Linked DNA regions of Callithrix jacchus. Each later gene encodes a partner of the first gene's protein in a complex. Links are inferred from orthologs where the notes say so. Each region holds a gene or a part of one and is shown in the gene's direction. Other genes may lie near its edges.

Evidence for each region. The genes of interacting proteins can lie anywhere in the genome.
Region 2: the proteins of guanine nucleotide-binding protein G(s) subunit alpha isoforms XLas (region 1) and GPR4 are in contact, whole or in part, in a cryo-EM structure (PDB 8Z9O), measured with the Homo sapiens proteins. The link is inferred for Callithrix jacchus from reciprocal best matches to the Homo sapiens genes GNAS and GPR4. Residues at the interface, in NP_000507.1 of Homo sapiens: Gln31, Lys34, Gln35, Arg38, His41, Asp215, Lys216, Val217, Tyr358, Tyr360, Phe376, Arg380, Asp381, Ile383, Gln384, Arg385, His387, Leu388, Gln390, Tyr391, Glu392, Leu393, Leu394; in NP_005273.1 of Homo sapiens: Gln45, Arg49, Asn50, Leu52, Asp114, Arg115, Ala118, Val119, Ala120, His121, Pro122, Leu123, Arg124, Arg129, Arg130, Lys132, Tyr201, Ile204, Ala207, Val208, Gly210, Ser211, Val212, Ser213, Thr214, Glu218, Lys221, Ile222, Leu225, Asn290.
Region 3: the proteins of guanine nucleotide-binding protein G(s) subunit alpha isoforms XLas (region 1) and GPR52 are in contact, whole or in part, in a cryo-EM structure (PDB 8HMP), measured with the Homo sapiens proteins. The link is inferred for Callithrix jacchus from reciprocal best matches to the Homo sapiens genes GNAS and GPR52. Residues at the interface, in NP_000507.1 of Homo sapiens: Lys34, Gln35, Arg38, Ala39, His41, Lys216, Val217, Phe219, Tyr318, Pro321, Arg342, Asp343, Leu346, Arg347, Thr350, Ala351, Tyr358, Cys359, Pro361, Phe376, Cys379, Arg380, Asp381, Ile383, Gln384, Arg385, His387, Leu388, Gln390, Tyr391; in NP_005675.3 of Homo sapiens: Tyr74, Arg139, Ala142, Ile143, Thr144, Pro146, Leu147, Asn150, Gln151, Thr154, Pro155, Ile226, Phe227, Ile229, Cys230, His233, Thr234, Glu236, Ile237, Arg240, Arg243, Phe244, Ser246, His247, Tyr263, Ala264, Met265, Phe268, Arg269.
Region 4: the proteins of guanine nucleotide-binding protein G(s) subunit alpha isoforms XLas (region 1) and GPR174 are in contact, whole or in part, in a cryo-EM structure (PDB 8IZB), measured with the Homo sapiens proteins. The link is inferred for Callithrix jacchus from reciprocal best matches to the Homo sapiens genes GNAS and GPR174. Residues at the interface, in NP_000507.1 of Homo sapiens: Lys34, Gln35, Arg38, Ala39, His41, Val217, Phe219, Thr350, Asp354, Gly355, Tyr358, Cys359, Tyr360, Phe376, Cys379, Arg380, Asp381, Ile383, Gln384, Arg385, His387, Leu388, Arg389, Gln390, Tyr391, Glu392, Leu393, Leu394; in NP_115942.1 of Homo sapiens: Phe44, Tyr47, Arg53, Ala54, Val55, Ile56, Phe57, Met58, Ile112, Arg115, Arg116, Phe119, Leu120, Met121, Pro123, Phe124, Phe126, His127, Asp128, Cys129, Gln131, Ser211, Leu212, Asp214, Met218, Gln220, Asp221, Leu222, Glu224, Lys225.
Region 5: the proteins of guanine nucleotide-binding protein G(s) subunit alpha isoforms XLas (region 1) and HTR1A are in contact, whole or in part, in a cryo-EM structure (PDB 9GL2), measured with the Homo sapiens proteins. The link is inferred for Callithrix jacchus from reciprocal best matches to the Homo sapiens genes GNAS and HTR1A. Residues at the interface, in NP_000507.1 of Homo sapiens: Ala39, Asp215, Lys216, Val217, Arg342, Arg347, Thr350, Ala351, Gly355, Tyr358, Phe376, Arg380, Asp381, Ile383, Gln384, Arg385, His387, Leu388, Arg389, Gln390, Tyr391, Glu392, Leu393, Leu394; in NP_000515.2 of Homo sapiens: Asn69, Ala71, Asp133, Arg134, Ala137, Ile138, Pro141, Ile142, Tyr144, Val145, Asn146, Arg148, Ile218, Ala222, Arg225, Ile226, Lys228, Thr229, Lys232, Val233, Asn325, Arg327, Asn328, Lys332, Arg339, Lys342, Thr343, Thr346, Leu347, Asn404.

The regions. Positions count from the first base shown.
Region 1 is NC_133506.1:54,470,950-54,474,449, forward strand, and holds part of guanine nucleotide-binding protein G(s) subunit alpha isoforms XLas, read left to right. Parts: intron 1-2,485; coding exon 2,486-2,544; intron 2,545-2,629; coding exon 2,630-2,749; intron 2,750-3,500. UniProt on the Homo sapiens protein: Guanine nucleotide-binding proteins (G proteins) function as transducers in numerous signaling pathways controlled by G protein-coupled receptors (GPCRs).
Region 2 is NC_133523.1:39,768,748-39,772,727, reverse strand, and holds the start of GPR4 (G-prodeshotein coupled receptor 4), read left to right. Parts: upstream 1-1,180; 5' UTR 1,181-1,261; intron 1,262-2,652; 5' UTR 2,653-2,826; intron 2,827-3,980. UniProt on the Homo sapiens protein: Proton-sensing G-protein coupled receptor activated by extracellular pH, which is required to monitor pH changes and generate adaptive reactions. Activated by an optimal pH of 6.8-7.2.
Region 3 is NC_133519.1:28,618,049-28,622,146, reverse strand, and holds the start of GPR52 (G-protein coupled receptor 52), read left to right. Parts: upstream 1-1,298; 5' UTR 1,299-1,480; exon of another isoform or gene 1,481-2,023; intron 2,024-3,132; 5' UTR 3,133-3,314; coding exon 3,315-4,098.
Region 4 is NC_133524.1:77,055,756-77,059,908, forward strand, and holds the start of GPR174 (putative G-protein coupled receptor 174), read left to right. Parts: upstream 1-1,353; 5' UTR 1,354-1,470; intron 1,471-4,153. UniProt on the Homo sapiens protein: G-protein-coupled receptor of lysophosphatidylserine (LysoPS) that plays different roles in immune response. Plays a negative role in regulatory T-cell accumulation and homeostasis.
Region 5 is NC_133503.1:145,656,266-145,660,489, forward strand, and holds the start of HTR1A (5-hydroxytryptamine receptor 1A), read left to right. Parts: upstream 1-1,424; 5' UTR 1,425-1,455; intron 1,456-1,661; exon of another isoform or gene 1,662-1,820; 5' UTR 1,821-2,207; coding exon 2,208-3,476; 3' UTR 3,477-4,224. UniProt on the Homo sapiens protein: G-protein coupled receptor for 5-hydroxytryptamine (serotonin). Also functions as a receptor for various drugs and psychoactive substances.

The DNA.
Region 1 (3,500 bases):
AATAATTGATGTTAGACTGTAATACCAAGGCCAGAAATTCTTAAATTTAGAAATGAGCTTCGTTCGATTCTGCACATACAAAGCAGACAGTCCCACAGAGCGGTGAGGACTTGGTCCCTTTCACTTTATGGTGGTTGCTTTAAGAGTGTGGGGGCCCGAATCAGATTTCAGATTTGTGCACAAGGTCCGAAGCTCACCTCTCCCTGTCATCTGTGCTTCTGAGGTTCTCTGGACCTGTACCACTTTTACTTAAATGGCCCTGAGGGGATTCCTGGCACCATCTGTTCTGCCTCCCTTCCCCAGACACCCACCTCCACTAATGAGCATGGCCCCTCTGAACTCTGCCAGCTCTTCAGTGTAGAAGAACAGTGGCTCGGAGACCTGTGAAGCCTCCCTCAAATAAGTACGCAGACGTTAATTCAGAAGGAAATTCGGGAGTAGAGTTCTTTGAGAAAGGGAAGACCACATTATTTATGGAAGGCCTGTGGGCAGGCTTGCACTTGACCCCACCATCCATCCCCTCCCCTCCTTCCCCACTGACCGCCCTGCCCTGCTCGTTCACTGTTTCTAATTAACCTCCCTCCTCCTCTTCTCTACCTTGACTTTGTCATGTTCTAGTCTGGAGGGAATTATATGTTTAATTTCTACCTCCATTCTATGAATTGGCGCATCAGCCAAGTGAATGCTTCAAAAACTGGGAATCTCAAAAGATTAAAAAAAAAAAAATACAGTGAAAAAGATAAACTTTATTCCCTGTATCTCCCACCCCCATCAGTTTCTGCCTCTGCAAATCAAGGCTTCCCCCCCCCCCCCCCGCCCCGCGCCTCATTTTCCCCATCAGAGAGGCAGGACCATAGCACTTTCCTTCTGTACAACAATGCTCTCACCTCCCAGGGCCTAACAGGTACAGCAGGTGTGCTGGGTGTGCTGCACATTTTTGGGCTGTAGACCTGGTGAGACACTCCGAGAGGCCCTTTCTTGCCCCCCCTAAAAACACAAACTCCAGAACCTTCCCTGGCTGTGCTTATATTAGAAGGCTAGTTTCTGAAAGACATACGGCATTTGGATCAGTGTAATCTGGTACAAAAATTAACATTAGGGTCCCCAGAAGCCAGAGGGTGTGGCCTTTACCTGTAGGACCAGTGACCCTGAATATAGATCATTCCGTAAAGACCACACAGGCCATCCCATTTGTCCGAGATAAAGTCAAGGAAAAGCTACAAAACCTTCAACCTCTACTTACCAGAGGGATCTGGCCCCTTCCCCCATAGAGTATAAGAACATCTAGGGGGTGGAATCTTATTTGATACCTATGCACATGGACCAACATGCACTAATATCATAAACTAGAAAGTTCATTGCTGCTAGTTGAGCGCCCGGAGCAGCACACCTGTGACTTGCTGCCAAGCCCTGAGACCTGTAATGAACCATTTTTTTCTTTGAGATGGAGTCTCAGTCTTTCGCCTGGGTTGCGGTGGTGCAATCTCTGCTTACTGCAACCTCCACCTCACAGGTTCAGGTGATTCTCCTGCCTCAGTTTACCCAGTAGCTAGGATTACAGGCACGTGCCACTACATCCAGCTAATTTTTTATATTTTTAGTAGAGATGGGGTTTCACCATGTTGGCCAGGCTGGTCTGGAACTGCTGACCTCGTGATTCACCTGCCTCAGCTTCCCAGAGTGCTGGGATTGCAAGCATGAGCCATGGCACCTGGCCCTTTTTTTATTTCTCCCAGACGGTCTTGCTCTGTCATCCAGGCTGGAGTGCAGTGGCATGATCTAGGCTCACTGCAACCTCCACCTCCCTGGTTTAAGCAATTCCCCTCCCTCAGCCTCCCGCACCCTGTAGCTGGGATTAGAGGTGCATGCCACCAAACCTGCTAATTTTTTTGTATTTTTAGTAGAGATGGGGTTTCACCATGTTGGCCAGACTGGTCTCAAACTCCACACCTCAGACAATCTGCCCTATAGGCGTGAGTCACCGAGTGCCCAGGCCCCTGTATTGAACTATTACTAACACCAGTACCTGTGCTCACTGGTTCTCTCAGTATGCTAATCTAGCAACTGAGTGAATTTTACATCAAAATAGGGGACTGTTTTGCTCCACTGCAAACTCTTAGTGACCTGTCATTTCAGCCTCACCCCTACCCAGATGCTGACAGGGTCAGAAGTGTTAGTATGTAGTATGGGGCTTCAAGCCCATGGGACCACCTGAAAGAGTCGGTGACCTGTGTGCAACTTTTGGTACAGTCATGATTGCTAAGGCAGTTTGCTCATCTGTCCCATTGGGCATGTCCTCCGGACACATTTGGGAGGTTACAATTTGCAGCCATGTCTATTGAGCTACCTCCAATCTTTGCACAGATCTGAACCCACAACTCCTTGAAGAACAGAATACTATGCTTTGTAGTCGGAATATCTTTATGCAAGCAATACTCTCAATTGACACGATGCAATATGATTTTCTTCTTTTTTCAATCCCACTGCAGTGAGAAGGCAACCAAAGTGCAGGACATCAAAAACAACCTGAAAGAGGCAATCGAAGTACGTGCTGGCTCCTTGCACTTTCTGTCTTACAGCCCCTCCCAGCCAGTACTGCTCCCTGACCACTTTGCTCAATCCTTTTCAGACCATTGTGGCCGCCATGAGCAACCTGGTACCCCCTGTGGAGCTGGCCAACCCTGAGAACCAGTTCAGAGTGGACTACATTCTGAGTGTGATGAACGTGCCTGACTTCGACTTCCCTCCTGTAAGCTACACCCCGACTTATGTGGCCTGAGATCCACTCACCTGAGCATAGTGTTCCTCTAAGAACATCAGTGACAGCCCTGCACATGGGCAAAAGTGTTCAAACCACACCTCAGGCAAAACACATTTCAGTGACATCCATCACAAATAAACATCACTCTTTAATATTACAATCTCATTTTATTAGATTGTAAATGTTTAGGAGGAAAATAGTTCCTGAGCTACGGTAGGCTTAATTATTCACATCTTAGGACAAACAAACCTGTATGTTAAATACGGTGCACAAATACTAATTGTCCATTTACTCCACTGGAAGTGCCCTAAGTTCCCTTGGGATGCCTCAGTGAAGTGCCAAATGGGAGACATTCTCATTTTAAACAGGTGACCTTTTCATATTTATTAAGAGTTTCCTAAAGTCAGTCCTGGTCTTTGGGCAAATGAAATCTTTTCTCATTATTAAAAAAATGTTTAAATATATCTAAATTGTAATTCAAAAATACATCATAAAATAGAACACATGGAAAAGACTTTCCTCTGGATGCATGACACCATTGGCTCCCTAAAGAACTATTTTTAGGGAACAAAAAAAACCGTTCAAGCCCAAACATATACGTCTAGGCCCCTTCTTGGGGAGAGTGGCTTATAAGCAGGGAACTGGAAAGATGGATGCGTTTGTAAGGCCCACAAGGAAGAGACTTGTCTACAGCGAAAACAATGAGTTACTGTTTCCTTTTGTCAGGCTTTCGTGGGAA
Region 2 (3,980 bases), on another chromosome or scaffold:
AGGAGTTTGAGACCAGCCTGGCCAACCCGATGAAACTCCATCTCTACTAAAAAATATAAAAAAAATTAGCTGGGCATGGTGGCGTGTGCCTGTAATCCCAGCTACTCAGGAGGCTGAGGCAGGAGAATTGCCTGAACCCAGGAGGCGGAGGTTGCCGTGAGCCGAGATCGCGCCATTACACTCCGGCCTGGGTAACAAGCGTGAAACTCCGTCTCAAAAAAAAGAAAAAAAAAAATTAGGCCGGGTGTGGTGGCTCATGTCTATAATCCCAGCACTTTGGGAGGCCAAGGTGGGTGGATCACGAGGTCAAGAGATCAAGACCATCCTGGTCAACAAGGTGAAACCCCATCTTTACTAAAAATACAAAAATTAGCTGGGCATGGTGGTGGGCACCTGTAATCCCAGCTACTTAGGAGGCTGAGGCAGGAGAATCACTTGAACCTGGGAGGTGAGATCACGGCATTGTACTCCAGCCTGGGCAACAAGAGCAAAACTCGGGAAAAAAAGGAAGGAAGGAAGGAAGGAAGGAAGGGAGGGAGGGAGGGAGGGAGGGAGGTAGGGAGGGAGGGAGGGAGGGAAGAAAGAAAGAGAAGAAAGGAAAAAGCAAGCAGTCACCATGAGTGACCACCTTGATTCAAAGAGGAAACAGGCACGGGGATGTCCCTAGCCTAAGGTCTGACCAAGAGACAGGCTGTAACCGCAACCCCAGAGCTCCTTCTAGGGGTGGCCCTGACTTTGGAGTTGGGGACCTAACAGAACTCTTTATTCTCTCCCTTGGTGGGGATGATGCAGAAGGTTAAGGACCAGAAGATGAATGACGGAGGCCTGGGGTCTCTAAGGGAGGAAAGGGCTTAATCCAGGGAAGGCCAGTAGCGGAGGGGCGGGGGGGGGGGGTTCCTCTTCCCATATCTCAGGGCTTGTTAAAGTTGGGGTGTGGTTAGAGAGAGGGGACCTTCCCGCTGGGGGACTTGGAAGGATTGGGGGGGGGTGTTCCAGCAGCAGATGAGCTTCCCCCGGGGCTGGAGGCGTTGAGTGGGGTGAAGCCCGAAAGGGCTTAAGGGGCAGCGGCAGAGGTGGGGTTAATGGGGGCGGGCCTGGGCGGGGCGGGGCCTCGGCTGGCGGCTGGAGCCTGGGGGCCGGGAGGAGTCGCCGCTGTTCTGCCCCAAAGGGGCATCCGCTGGGTCCCTGCGCCGCCGTCGAGCCCGGACTAGGACGCAGCTGAGAGGCGCTGCCGCCCGCCCCGTCCAGCCGCCGTGCGCAGGTAAGAGCCGGGCCCTCCCCGGCCGCCCGCGGTGCCGCCGGGTCTCACTAGGTTGCCCTGCTCGTGACGGGACCGCTCCTTCCCGCCCCTTCGGGGGCTGCCTCAGTCTCCTGCGCCGTCTCGGTGCCCGCCCCCTCTGTTGCTCTGCTCGGTTCGGTTCTGCGGGTCTCCAGGTCACGCCTGAGGTCTCTGAGGTCTCTGTGTCTGTGGTCCCTCTGCCTCTGGACCTGTCTCTCCTTCTGTGTCTCTGGGATGTCTCTGTCTATCTCTTGATCTCTGCGTCTCTGTCTCCGTCTGTCTCTGTCTCTGTTTCTGGGTGCCACCTCCCCCGCCCCTGCCTCTGCCTGTCCCCCGTCTGTTGTGGGACCTCTGTGGATCTCTCTGCCTCTGAATCCATCTCTCCCTGTCTCTGTGTGTCTCTTTGCTCTCTCCCTGCCTGTTTCTCTGTCTCTCTCTATTGCCCTGACTCTGTCTCTCCGTCTCTTATAACCCTGTTTTGGCACCTTCAAGTCTGTCGTTTCTCCTTCCAAAACCTCTGGCATCCCGGAATTTTCCTCTGGGCTGGGAAGTTGCTTGGGAGTCGAACTTAGGGGACAGGAGGCTTGTGACCTGCGGCAGGCGGACTCTGACCCCATGGCCCCCATCATGGAGCCACCCCACTGCCCCTGAGGTTGCACTCACCCCGCCTGCCAATTTCAGGAATTCCTGGCTGGGGGGTGGACTTCCTCCCCTACTTCCTCTCTTCCAGGATTTGGCTGGGTCACCGTTAACTCTTTCCTGCTTCCGCCTTACTCTTCCCCCCTGGAACTGGACAACCTGCCCTCCCAAACTAGGCTGAGGAACAGCTCTAGAATATCTGTGACACATCAGTTGTGGGATGTGTGTGTGCGTGCTCGGGCTGGATACGCATTGGGGAATTTGGCGCAGAAATTAAGAGGATGGGGCCACACCCCCCAATAGCCCCTCCAAAGCCCACCATCAGCCCTCCTCCTCCTGAACCCATCAAGAAGGCAACCACCCCCAGCTCTGTCTCTGTAGATGAACTTGACTTCGGGTTTGGGTGAGGATGGGGAGGTTTTCTTCTCTGGGGGAATCCCAGCAGAAGAGGATGAGCGACCCATGGGGGCTCCTGGAACTCTGGGAAATCATAGGATCAAGAACCTTGAACGCGAGCATCTTTGAATGAAAGGGCCCAGATGGAAGAAAGATCAGAGGGGAGGCCTGGGAATTCCAGATCCTTCCAGTCAAAGGTCCTCGGGATACTGCAGTCCTTCAATCCAAAAAGAGGAGTGCTGAAATCTTGGCACTTTTCAGTGCTGGCAGCTGAGAGCTGGAAAGGGTTTGTGGAGCCATCTAGGCCAACAACCCCCCACCCTGCTCCCATTTTATAGATGGGGAAACTGAGGCCCAAGAGCAGACGTCTCCATGGTGAGTCAGTGCCAGGCTGGAGGGTTGGGACTCCAGGTTTCAACTGAGGCCCAAATCCAGAGAGCTGGCTTCTTCTGCTACCACTAAGTCGATCAATTTTGGGAAAGAGGTCTCAATGAGGAGGGAGAGACGCCAGGGTGAGTACAAATGGCTGGAATCCAAAAGGGAGGGTTTTAGAAGCAGAGGAGAGAAAATATTTCTAAAACCATGGTGGGGAGGGAGCGGGGCAAGAGTTGGTTTGGGTGGAAGGGGTGGAGTTTTGGGAAGAGAGGGAGGGAGGTGGAGGGGAAGCGGGTTTAACTCCAGCCTCAGTCTCCTGACCCTCCGCCTGGAGCCCACCGTTCCCTCGGGGACAGGGCCTATAATTTGGTTTGTGTCTAGACAAATAATAACTCAGCTGGTGTGAGCGGGGAGGGCTGAGGCTAGGCCCACTAGGGAAAGGGTAGAGAGGGGCCTGGATGCTTCCTGTCCCCTGCAGGTGGTTAGAATTTAGGGGCCAGGTGGAGGTGGTAACTAACACGCCCTTCTCTTCCCTCTGTGAAGCCACAGTTTCTTAGAATTCTGCACAGTCTCAGAAATCAGCTGCTGGAATGTTCAAAAGCATACAAGAAAAAGCGGGGGGAGGAAAAGGAAGTGGGGCTCACCGTATTTAGTGTACGTTCCCATTTCTGTAAAAGAGAAAAGGGAAATACGTATTACTGTTTCCCGGGGAAAGATAAAAATCACTGAGGGTTTAATAATAGATGATGAAAGTCATAGAACGCTTAAAAAATCATAGCGCATTCTAACAATAGAACTTTCGAATCTTGGAATGTGAGACTTCTAGAATATTGGAAACTTAGAAGGGTAGGTGCTTCCAAAGCCGCGATGTAATAAATAGAATGAAAGAAGAGTAACACTCTAGGATGTTCTAATAGAACATTCAACTGCAGAGTGAACTAAGGATAGAACCTGAAGATCGCAGAACCGTGGGGACCCAGGATGTCAGAGAGGCAGTCTAAGGACTGGTATCCCTGATGGGCAGTGTGGGTGTGGGGGGCACAGAGACCCCCTCGGTTGAAATGGGGAAACTGAGGTGCAGTGGGGCGGCTAGGGTGGCCCGGCTGCCCCCTGGTTTCCGCTGGCCGCCAAGACACCAGGTGGGGAGCGAGGAGTGGTGATCACATTTCATCCCTAATGAGCAGACCGGAGCTGGCTGGTCCTCTGGGGCCGCCGGGGGAAGGCGGGGGAGCAGGAGCCCACAGAGGAGGAAAAGGGGGAGGTGAGATAGCTTGGTGGCAACCGGGAGGAG
Region 3 (4,098 bases), on another chromosome or scaffold:
TTTTGAGATATGTTCCATCCTAGTTTATTGAGAATTTTTAGCATTAAGGGGTGTTGAATTTTATCAAAGGCGTTTTCTGCATCTATCTCAATTTTTTTACTTTTTAATAATAACCATTCTGACTGGTGTGAGATAGTATTTCATTGTGGTTTTGGTTTGCAATTTTTAAATAGTGTTAAGTATAATAATAACCTATTTCAGTCCTGGTTTCACAACTCTGTAATTATAGGCAAGTTATACTTACTATTTCTAGTATCTGCTTTCTTCCTTTGGAAAATGATAATGATGATACCAACTTCATATAGTTTTAAGGTTTTTATAAAGGAACAGTATATAAAGCACATAGCACAGTGCTTAGCATATAGAAAACACTCAACAAACATTTTCCATTTTTATCTTCATTTTCCTGCTGTATTTTAATTCTGAAATAATTTATAAATTATTTGAAAATCACTTTAAGAAAAGTGCTAATCCCATAAGAAATATGTTTAAAATAGTGACTGTTTTCCTGTAGTAAGTCAAAATAATCAGAAATGTTTTTAATGTCCATCAAATATTTGATTTTAATTTGCATTGTTCTAATTTAGGTATGTGTAGCTCAAGCACTTAGAACAGATTTTTTTAACTATTTGACCTTTTTTTCATATTAGGATAAAAGGTGGATAAGCAATGTTTCTATTTATTCTAATTTCTATGCTCTTTTGAGATTATATTTGACCTTCAGTATTTCTCTGAATAGATTTGGGTACAGTAGTGTTAGTTCTATTGCTGTGTACAGTTAAATACATCGAACTCAGCAATTTTTTGTGGGTATGGTGGGGATTGGAGAGATTAGTAAATGATTTCTAACTTCTGTTAATTAAAATATAACTGTATTTTAGAGAGAAATTAGTAGTCATATCACTTGAGTTCATAAAGACTTGGCAGATTTTTAATAATTAATAAGTTTTTTCTGCCAAAGAGCATTAGATTACTGCTGACTTTTTAGTGTCATAGTGCCTTGTGGTAATTTCTTTACAGGGTTTACAGGAGTATGCCAGTTTATTTTTTCTGTCCTGTCCATACAAAATAATCCTTTCAAATGCTATAAGGAGAATAACTTGAGAAGTTCATAAATGCCTTAATATATTATAAAGATCGGTCAGTTCCATTGTCTTCTTTTGTCAGTCTTGATCGGAGCTTGCCGAGTAAGTCTATAAGCCTGCATGTGCCTGGCAACTGTTACCTAGTGACAGTTTCAGCTGCAGTAGCCATTGGCTGTGCTGTTGATTGGGGCAGGAGGGCCGAGTCACCTTTCTGATGGTGAGTTTTTCTGCATCAGCCCAGGATGATGATGAGGAGGAGGGCCTGGGCTCAGGTGGAGGCATTGATGCTGAGAGATTGTGAAGAATATACAGACAGCATCCTTGTAACTGCATCACAGTAAATCGGACTTCTGAATCAAGCAGCCCAGCCTAGCAGCTGATAAGAGTGAATGTAGGTGAGAAGCATTACCTTATTCCTATAACAAGAGAACTATTTTGTGATAGGTGAAACTAGGAATTTACAAGAAGAAATATCCTATGGCTATAACAAAAGAAGAAAGACTTGCCTGAATGACTTGGTGGTGCACCAGAAAATAACTTTCAGAAGAATGCTTTCTATTAAGCTGCTGCATTGTTCCTGGAGGAAATGTTTTCATTTCTAATGCATGTTATTTCTTCAAAAGATAAGATAACAAAGAATGACAAGAGACTCTCTGAAATGACTTTACTTTTAAAAAGTACTTTGACAAATGTTAACCTGATATCAGAATGACCTTGGAAGCATTTTGGATGGATTCTATCCTGCCAGCCTTGCAATATTTCAAACTCTAGGATTTAAACTCATCTTGATACTTTAGAGGTATTTTAAAATAACACTATCTTGCAACCTATCTAATGGCCCCCGTATTAATTGAGCACTTGCTCAAAATAGAATACAGAAATAGAAGAGGCATTTTTTAACATATGGCTGCTACATAACTGCAAATGTAATAAACAAGGTAATTTTCCACTTTCAGAAGATATAGTTAAAGAAATGATTTAATGTGTTAATCATCTACTGAAAATAGAAAAGATAGCAAAATAGAATATGAAGTCTGTTAGAAACACTGAAGTAATAAATAATGGCAGCATTTCTGGTCAGATAAGCTCAGAGTGTATCGGAAAGTTTTATTATTGTCTAACTTTAATATGTATTTACATATATATGTGAGAAATTGGTGTACAGTTGCAAAGGTGAGAAATAACTATGAGCTATATATTTTATCATGCTCTGTTATAAGAAAGGTGGTATATCAAATAACAAACATTATTTTAAGTTGTATGTGCAAATTAATAGCAAAAGTGATTTCTTTTCATTTTGAAAAGGAAGAGGTATAATTTAGTACCACCAGTAACTGTAATGTACTAAAACTGCTTTCATCTAAATGCTTTAAAAATGCATGCAGAATTAAAACTTCAGAAGTTTATTATATTTTGCCAGGTGTTAATTCATTAGTTCATTGTATATTATCTTTTCTATTGGAAAAATACTTTTTTCTCATGGAGTTATAGGGTAATCTGGAGTCTGTTTATTCCCCCTACTCTACCCATGTCGAGATGAATCTTTATAAATTAACTTTGATAGAGTTGTTTTTCTTAGATTTTAGAAAAATGAGAAATAGATTATAGAGTTGACCCACCAACATCAATCCCTGAACTAAGCCCAAAGACACTCTTTGCCACAATGAACTTTTTCTTAGCTTTTCAACCAAATTTGAGATCTTAATTATTTAAAGTCTAAAATACGAATGCATTTTTCATCATAGATGAAGCAGGAAACCTGAGACAGTTTAAGAGTTTTTCTTTTCTCATTCTTTCTAGTTGATCCCTAAGAAACTGCTTCTTTTAGGAGAACAAACAGCCCACAGAAGCTTTTCTTCCCTTGGCATTTTTTTTCTTTTTACAGATTTAATTTTTCATAGTGCAAGATAATAAGAAGTCTGTTTTCTCTAGAAGTGCCTTATGTCTGCAGAAAGTTCTTTGAGGGCACCAGAGGAAGCTAATTAGTGACCTCTTTTCACCTCCTTTCTAACTTACCCCCTTCTCTCTACCTCCCGCCCCCTGAAAGCTGAGGTGTGTCACTGCTGAACTGAGGCTGATGAAGAGACTTGAGCACTCTCTGGGACTCTCAGCTGTGACAGAAGCACTGATACTGTCTACTGAAGCAGGTTCTGAAACACTCATGTGCAGTGTTTAACAGGACACCTGCTTGCTGTAGCCAAGTCTGCAGGCATCTTTAATTTCCAAGCCATGAATGAATCCAGGTGGACTGAATGGAGGATCCTGAACATGAGCACTGGCATTGTGAATGTGTCCGAGCATCACTCCTGCCCACTTGGATTTGGTCACTACAGCGTGGTGGATGTCTGCATCTTTGAGACAGTGGTTATTGTGTTGCTGACATTTCTGATTATTGCTGGGAATTTAACAGTTATCTTTGTCTTTCATTGTGCTCCACTGTTACATCATTATACTACCAGCTATTTCATTCAGACAATGGCATATGCTGATCTTTTCGTTGGAGTTAGCTGCTTGGTTCCTACTCTCTCACTTCTCCACTACTCCACAGGTGTCCACGAGTCATTGACTTGCCAGGTTTTTGGATATATCATCTCAGTTCTAAAAAGTGTTTCTATGGCATGTCTTGCTTGCATCAGCGTGGATCGTTATCTTGCAATAACCAAGCCTCTTTCCTACAATCAACTGGTCACCCCTTGTCGCCTGAGAATTTGCATTATTTTGATCTGGATCTACTCCTGCCTAATTTTCTTGCCTTCCTTTTTTGGCTGGGGGAAACCTGGTTACCATGGTGACATTTTTGAATGGTGTGCCACCTCTTGGCTCACCAGTGCCTATTTTACTGGCTTTATTGTTTGTTTACTTTATGCTCCTGCTGCCTTTGTTGTCTGCTTCACTTACTTCCACATTTTCAAAATTTGCCGTCAGCACACCAAAGAGATAAATGACCGAAGAGCCCGATTCCCTAGTCATGAGGTAGATTCTTCTAGAGAGACTGGACACAGCCCTGACCGAC
Region 4 (4,153 bases), on another chromosome or scaffold:
TCCTGTTCATCTATCTTTGGGAGAGTGGGGGAGGGGGATATTAGGTGCCTAATACAGTGTGGCACTGGTCTCAAGTGTCTATAACTCTGAGACTCCTTGGAACACAATCTTCAAGAGCCTGTGGCAGTGGGGTCTGGGCTACAGAAAACCAACTTCTTTTCATGGGATCCTGCCTAACCACTTGAGAGGAAATGGGGGCTTTACCTGCACTTCTTGGTAACAGGGACCCTGAGAGCAATGGGAAATGTGTAGACTGGAAGTGGAAAGTGGATTATAGCTCGAAATTCCTCTTAAGGAGTGGGGTATTTAATTCAATGTCAGAATTGTAGAGGTTTGTGTATTCAAGAATGCCCTAGGCAAAGATCATGGTCACCTTGACTTCTTCTACTGGGTGCTTTCTAGGGAACATTCTTAAGAATGTTCACTTTGGTAAGTGAACACAAGTGAGAGGCTGTGAGAAAGGATCACCCTAAGGTTGTAGTGGTCCACTGTCTATGGAAGTAACTCCAGGGATCCTAGCTTCAGCGAACGACTCCATAGACAAATAGGCTGTGTGTTATCACGAACTCAAAGCTTAGTGCAACCACAGAAGACAATGCACTGTGGCCCTAGAAATAGAAAGGAGAATTTATTTTCCTAAGTGTGAAGCTTTGCAGGCTCTACATACAGCCTGTAATGTAGCCCTGCATCAACAGGGGTGGGCGGGGGGAGGAGAGAATGAAAGCAAAAGAGCATGCTGGCTGCCCCCTAGATAACGGAAAGGTTCAGTGTAAATAGAGAGGGCTTGGATAATTCACTCTGACATCTTACTACTATGTTTTTCAACATGATAGTGGTTAGATATTCCTAATAATTTTTTTCCTTTTATTTTCATAATTTTCCTTTTGGCTTTCTATTATTTTGTATTATTTTTACTTTTATTTATTTTCTTCCTTCCCTCCATCTCTCCTGCCTCCCTCCTTTCCTTTCCTTTCCTTTCCTTTCCTTTCCTTTCCTTTCCTTTCCTTTCCTTTCCTTTCCTTTCCTTTCCTTTCCTTTCCTTTCCTTTCCTTTCCTTTCCTTTCCTTTCCTTTCCTTTCCTTTCCTTTCCTTTCCTTTCTTTCTTTCTTTCTTTCTTTCTTTCTTTCTCTTTCTTTCTTTCTTTCTTTCTTTCTTTCTTTCTTTCTTTCTTTCTTTCTTTTCTTTCTTTCTTTCTTTCTTTCCTTTTTTCCTTTCCCCTTTCCCCTTTCCCCTTTCCTTTCCCTTTCCCTTTCCCTTTCCCTTTCTTTTTCTCTCCTTTCCTCTTTTCTTTTTCTTTCTCTTTTTCTTCCTCCTTCTTTTTTTTCTCTTTTGCTAGTGAAGAAGAATTGGATTGGTCATTTTCAGAACAGGGAGCCTACATTGATGCACAGATCAGCAGCATCCTTGTTGGAGTGGCTGTCACATGAATTCTTTGGAGATCTCTGAAGAAAACAGAAAGAAACTGAAATGGTAGGTTCTAAATATTTATGCACCATTAGCTCTCATCTGTGCATTTTTCCCTTAATATCTAGAACTGGACTCTTCACGCAATATCTGTACAGCTTGTCAAGTCGAAGGACATTTATGGATATAATGAACTTGTACCATCCTTAAATGTTATTTTTTTTCTGGTATTTGCACAAACAAAAATAATTGTGTGGTGGGCTGCCAGAGGAGGGAGGCAACTTTAAACTTGGGAAAATATGTTTGACATGGAGAGATTTTTAGTAATGTGATTAGCTCAATTGATACTCAATAAAACATTCCTGTGAACATTTGCAATTTAACCTGTTTTATATTAAGTAGAGTTGCTTACATAAAGATGCAGGATAATTTTTATCTACTTGTTGCTATTACTCTTCGGGAGTGCTATGTTTATCTTCTGCATAACTAAACTGGTTAACTTTGTGTGCTTTTCAAAATGAGCTATTATTTAAAAAATGAAAGCAATAATATTTCAGGACCTAACATATATGCATGTTCCTATAAGCTTATGTAAGCTACTTATTTTCACTGTAAAAGTTAAAAGTTAATTGTTGTAATTAATGATAGATGTAAACATTCTGTTTTCAAACACATTTAAGAAAACTTGTTTATAATGAGAGAAAGGGAAAATAAGAAATATAACAGTCATAGTTGGTCTGTTTTTCATAGATAAGCTCTACCTACTATAGTAAGTAATCAGCATATTAAAAAATCAACAATGGTTAAAATGATTTTGAATTTAATTTGCATTTCTTGATACTCAAAATGGACTTATTTTGACAAAATGTAAGTGCAATTATTTCCTTGTTTGCCTGTCGTTTCTTTTTTGTGCTCCAAGAGAAAATGTTTAGGATGGTGCCTTTTGACTTTAAATCATATAATGACACTATCAATCATGTGTAACTGCTAGGAGCTGCATTCAGAGACTAAAAGAAACAAAGTCATGAATTCCTGCTTGAAAGAGAGATGGAAATGAGGAGGGATGTGGTACAACATGACCCAATATTAAATCTCAAATAACTTTCCTGCTCCTTCCTCCTGTCAACAGTAATATATACAAACTTCATTTTATACTGTTCTAAATTTTCCATAAAAGAAAAAGTGATAATTTTATTCAATAAGCAGAAGTATATGCTTTAGAGAGCTTTGGGTCATTCAGCAAGGAGTATTTTATTTTTCTTTTAGCTTCTGTATATATCAGGTATAAAAACAAAAAAATATTGAACTTTTAGAGAGGATTAAAGTTCTTCCACTCAGGGCAAGATTATACCAGTCACACTGGCAAACATTTGAATATGCCAAAAAGTTTGTATCCAAGGAAGATATACTTTTAGTTACAGATAATGTGCTTTGCACTTGTGAATACATGTACTGCTCTGCTTTGCTATATGTTTGTAATAATATTTTTATGAGACAGGAACCACCTAGTGTATCTATTTTGTTGGGGCCAGTTTAATATTATGCTGAATAATGTAAAGATTAATAAACACAAAGTGGGTAATAAATTGCTCCAAATATCTCACTGAATTTCACCTGAAGAGCCCTAGGAATGAATGCATTTCATGATCCCCCTTTGTGCTAGGTAACCGAAATGAAGAAGACAAAAAAGCATACCTTCTGCATTCCACTCATAGATACTTTTGGCACCAATCAGCTACACAGAATCAGAAAGGGAAGTAAACTCCTTTTCCTGATCTCTCTCCAATCCTGATAAAAGGGGGGCACAGAAGGTTCCCCTTCCACTGCCCATTACATTGATCCCCCTAAAGTCTTCTTTCTATGCTATAGGTCTCAAGGATCAGTCTCTAGATCCCAAGTCCGAGAATAAGAAATTATCAGAAACAGTTTCAACTCTTGTCACTTCAGAGCAATGGCAAACATCTAAGATTTTTATACTTCGGGAAATAAAGTAGTTTCATAGCATACATCGTGCAGTTGGAAAAATTGAGACTCACAGCAGTGAAGTGACTGGGTCAAGTACCTCTGTGTGTGACAGAGACAAAGGTAGAATTCAGGCTTTTTCATACCTTGTCCAGTGCTCTGTTCATTTTTCCTTGCTGACTATCAAGGTTTGTGGATTAAAAGACATGCATTATTCATTGGGAAACACTAAAAGATTTCATGTTGAGAGCATTCAAGAATCTCTCAATAGCAGGGCACACTTCAGGCTTCTCCTAAGGGCCCTAATACTGTAACAAGCCTTGAGTTTCTGAGCTTTACCACTGGTTCCTTCCAAGAATAGGAAAGAGTTTTTCCTACTGTGCTTATAAAAAAAAAACCCCAAATGCAAATTGATACTACATGCTGTAATACAAGATTAACACAGACCAGGACATATATTGGATGCTTATGTGCTGTATTGAATATCAGAGCAACATTATGGCCAATTCATTAGACAAGAGGGAGTATTTAGTAGGTCCTGAGGTCTAGAAGATTCCAGATTTGAGAAAGGAGTCAAGATTTTAGGGTTTCTGTCTGACATAAACAGGCATATGTGGTCAATCAACTAAGGTTAGAGTGTGTGGAAGATAAATATGTACGGTTACTGGTAGTATGTGAATCCTGAAAAGGATACAGTAATTAGTGGATTGGCTATTACTGTTTGTCATATAACTAAGTGCTAGCTGATATTTGAAAATTAAAGTGGGTTCTTCTGGTATAGTCTTTG
Region 5 (4,224 bases), on another chromosome or scaffold:
ATTGCATTCTGCACTTTCCTTTCATTTTAGGCATGTAATCAGGATGTATAAGTGAAATGTTGTATTGTGTGTTTAATGTAGTTGCTTAAAAGTCCCATTCTTTCCTGCTCAAATGAGATTAAATTTGTTTTTCTTGTTTAAGGAAACAGCTTAGAAAAAACCCATGTAAATATCCTTATTTACAATTATTTAACATTTGGGAATGGAAGATGAAATACTATTATTTTCTGCAACAAAAGGTAAATTTACGTAAATGTGTCAGTTCCAAAGTTCAGATTATGGCAGCACAAAACCAACACGTGTGAAGGTTTTTGTCTAGCTTTATTACAATGGCATTCCCAGATAGGACTTGTGAATGACAGACGTTTCAGGCTTTAAAGGGAGCTACAACATATAATAGGCTTGATATATAAGGTTCAGAGCAAAGGAGGACACTAAAATAAATTTTTAAAGTAAATAGGAAAAAGATAAAACTCAGTGCTACCTTGCCTTTTAATAACCGTCTTCTCTTTCTAGAAGTTGTTGGATTTCCTCAATACTTGCTTAATTTCTGCATAAGGGTTTCTAGGTGGCACTCTAAAACATTTGCCGGAAGGTGGCGTCATAAACCCTCATTGCTTAGAGCTGTCCCAGGTGCTGAACTCAGTTTCTGTGGTTAACAGAGGCTAGGCGGTTAGCGAACAGAGATTCAGCAAGTTTCCCCCAGCGGTTTGCAGGCTCTGGTAAGAAGTGCAAAAGGCCATATAAAATGCCAGACTTCACTCAGAACACATATGCAAAATATTTCCATCTCTGAATTTGCTAGCCACAAAGGTATGTTCCCATAGCTATGTTCCCATGGTGTCACTGAAATTGAAAGTGTAGTAGTGATGGAAAAGTGTGTGTGTGTGTGTAGAATACATATCACATTGAGTTTTGTTCTTTATTTAGACATGCAGTTGTTTACCCCTCCTTGTCCCTTGTCCTTTGCCACGTCCTTTATAATTTCATTCTCTCCCAGCTCCCCAAGGTTAAAAAAAAATGTCACAGGCAATATCCTCCTGAGGGAGTCAGGCTGGACTGTTAGATGATAAACTGAGGTACTTTCGTGTTTGTTTGTTTGTTTGCTTTGAGACGGAGTCTCGCTCTGTCACCCAGGCTGGAGTGCAGTGGCGCGAGAACGGAGGTAGCTTTTTAAAAACGAAGACACACTCTCTCTGTCTTCTTCCATCAATTAGCAATAATTGAGAGACTGACCCAGGACTGTTCACCTTCCCATTCAGGCACCCTGTGCTTCCCTATCTCATCTCCTATTGTCACTCTGGGCTGCTGACACTATTTAAGAATTTGACAGATAATACGTGGCAATGAGTAGTTAGAATTTCCTCTTCTAAATACCCCCTCCCCAGTTTGGGTTGGAGGCGGAGTTTATTTGTTACAGCCTTGGTCTGACCGGCAGGGATCCGGTGTGTGCAAGTGAGTTCTGAGTCTCTTTTGACAAAAAGGGACTTGAATGCAAAGACGCAGAGCTAGAGGTATAGGAGGGCGGGGACCCACAGAAAAGAGGCACTCCTTGGGGTTCGGGAAGTGTTAGGAGGGGAGGGTTAGAGTGGGAGGGAGGGAGCCTGGCTTTCGAAGCGACTCACAGGGGGATAAATAATGTGGGGTGAGGAGGAAGAGGCAGACTGAAAGGAAGGCAAGTGGGGAAAAGGGGAAAGAAAGAGGCTGAAGAGAGAGAAGAAAGAGGAGGAGGGAGAAGGAGAGGGGGAGAAAGGGAAGGAAGGAAATAGGGAGAGGAGGGTCACTCAGTGACCGTGGAGGATGGGGCTTCTCGGTTCTAGATATTTCTGGGATTGGAGACTATTTACTCGTGGGAAGACTCCAGCTCCGGCAGCCAGTTGGGAAGCGGCAAAGTAAAATGGACAGCGACAGACAGACGTTCCAGCCACCTCTCCACCCCCCAGAGATCCCGGAGCTGCTTTCAGGCCAACTCCAGTTTCCCAGCTAGAGCCTCTGAACGCCTTGGACTGCGCGAGCCCAGGGAGCGCCTGAAAGCTGCTCCTCCGGGATACCTTCGCCGGAACAGTAAGAACTTCCTGCTTGGGTCCTTGGATTCCCTTCCTCCGAAACTTCCTTGGAGACTGGGCGGAAGACCCCAGGGGAAGGGGCGAAAGGGATCTTCGCTCTGCTTTTTCTTCCTTCCTCTTTCCCGCGCGGGGCTCACAGGCATGGATGTGCTCAGCCCTGGTCAGGGCAACAATACCACATCATCCCCGGGTCCCTTTGAGACCGCCAGCAACACTACTGGTATCTCCGACGTGACCTTCGGCTACCAAGTGATCACCTCTCTGCTGTTGGGCACGCTCATCTTCTGTGCGGTGCTGGGCAATGCCTGCGTGGTGGCTGCCATCGCCCTGGAGCGCTCCCTGCAGAACGTGGCCAATTATCTTATTGGCTCTTTGGCGGTCACCGACCTCATGGTGTCGGTGTTGGTGCTGCCCATGGCCGCGCTGTATCAGGTGCTCAACAAGTGGACTCTGGGCCAGGTCACCTGCGACCTGTTCATAGCCCTCGACGTGCTGTGCTGTACCTCATCCATCCTGCACCTGTGCGCCATCGCGCTGGACAGGTACTGGGCCATCACGGACCCCATCGACTACGTGAACAAGAGGACGCCCCGGCGCGCTGCTGCGCTCATCTCGCTCACTTGGCTTATTGGCTTCCTCATCTCCATCCCGCCCATGCTGGGCTGGCGCACCCCGGAAGACCGCTCGGACCCCGACGCATGCACCATTAGCAAGGACCACGGCTACACTATCTACTCCACCTTCGGCGCTTTCTACATCCCGCTGCTGCTCATGCTGGTTCTCTATGGGCGCATATTCCGAGCTGCGCGCTTCCGCATTCGCAAGACAGTGAAAAAGGTGGAGAAGACCGGAGCGGACACCCGCCGTGGAGCATCTCCGGCCCCGCAGCCCAAGAAGAGCGTGAATGGAGAATCGGGGAGCAGGAACTGGAGACTGAGCGTGGAGAGCAAGTCAGAGAGTGCTCTGTGCGCCAATGGCGCGGTGAGGCAAGGTGACGACGGCGCCGCCCTGGAGGTGATCGAGGTGCACCGGGTGGGCAACACCAAAGAGCACTTGCCTCTGCCCAGCGAGGCTGGTGCTACCCCTTGTGCCCCCGCCTCTTTCGAGAGGAAAAATGAGCGCAACGCCGAGGCGAAGCGCAAGATGGCCCTGGCCCGAGAGAGGAAGACAGTGAAGACGCTGGGCATTATCATGGGTACTTTCATCCTCTGCTGGCTGCCCTTCTTCATCGTGGCTCTTGTTCTGCCTTTCTGTGAGAGCAGTTGCCACATGCCCACCCTGTTGGGCGCTATAATCAATTGGCTGGGCTACTCCAACTCTCTGCTTAACCCCGTCATTTACGCATACTTCAACAAGGACTTTCAAAACGCGTTTAAGAAGATCTTTAAGTGTAAGTTCTGCCGCCAATGATGATGGAGGAGTAGCCGGCCAGTGCGGGGGTTACAGGATCCGCCCCATTCACTATGCTTGGACCAACCCTAGGGAATCAACACCTAAGATAACTTGCTACTTCTCTTTCTCAGCTTCTCTGCCCGCGGCTTGCGGACCTGGTCCCCTCCCCATTTCCCGCACCAGGGCAGGGCGCTTTGTGCAAAGGAGACCCAGCGACGGGGCATGAGAGACCAGGAAATTCAGAGAGTTTGTGAAAAGCGACATTGGCCCAGACTTTGCCCTTAGCATCAGTTTGATCTCAGCAATTGCCTCTTCTCTCCTCTGTGCCCTAAATCTTTGCGATGGATGTTTAATCCTTAGCTATTCAAGGTAGAAAATCCAAAAAATAAAAAAAATTGATAAACTGTACACACAGCCGCCGCGCCCACTAGGGGCTCCACCCGATCACCCAACTCCTAGAACTTGGACTTGAGGTTCGGGAATTTGCTCCATCTCTCTCGCCCTCTGGCCCTTGAAATATTCACTTTTTTCTCCCCGTTTTTATCCTTTCTTTTCTTTCATTGCTTCCTTCTCGCCCGTCCTGATGCACTAATCTGCTGGTCCGCAGAGGCGGAAGAGTCTGCTTTTCCCAGTGCCAACGGTGCCCCTGGGATTCCCGTCTTCGCGCAGACTTGAGACAACTGTCGTGCAGTGCACAACCCCTGCTTCCTTTGTTTCCTTTGAATCAAAACGAGTGACCAGAAGGTGTCTCTCAGAGTGGACTTGT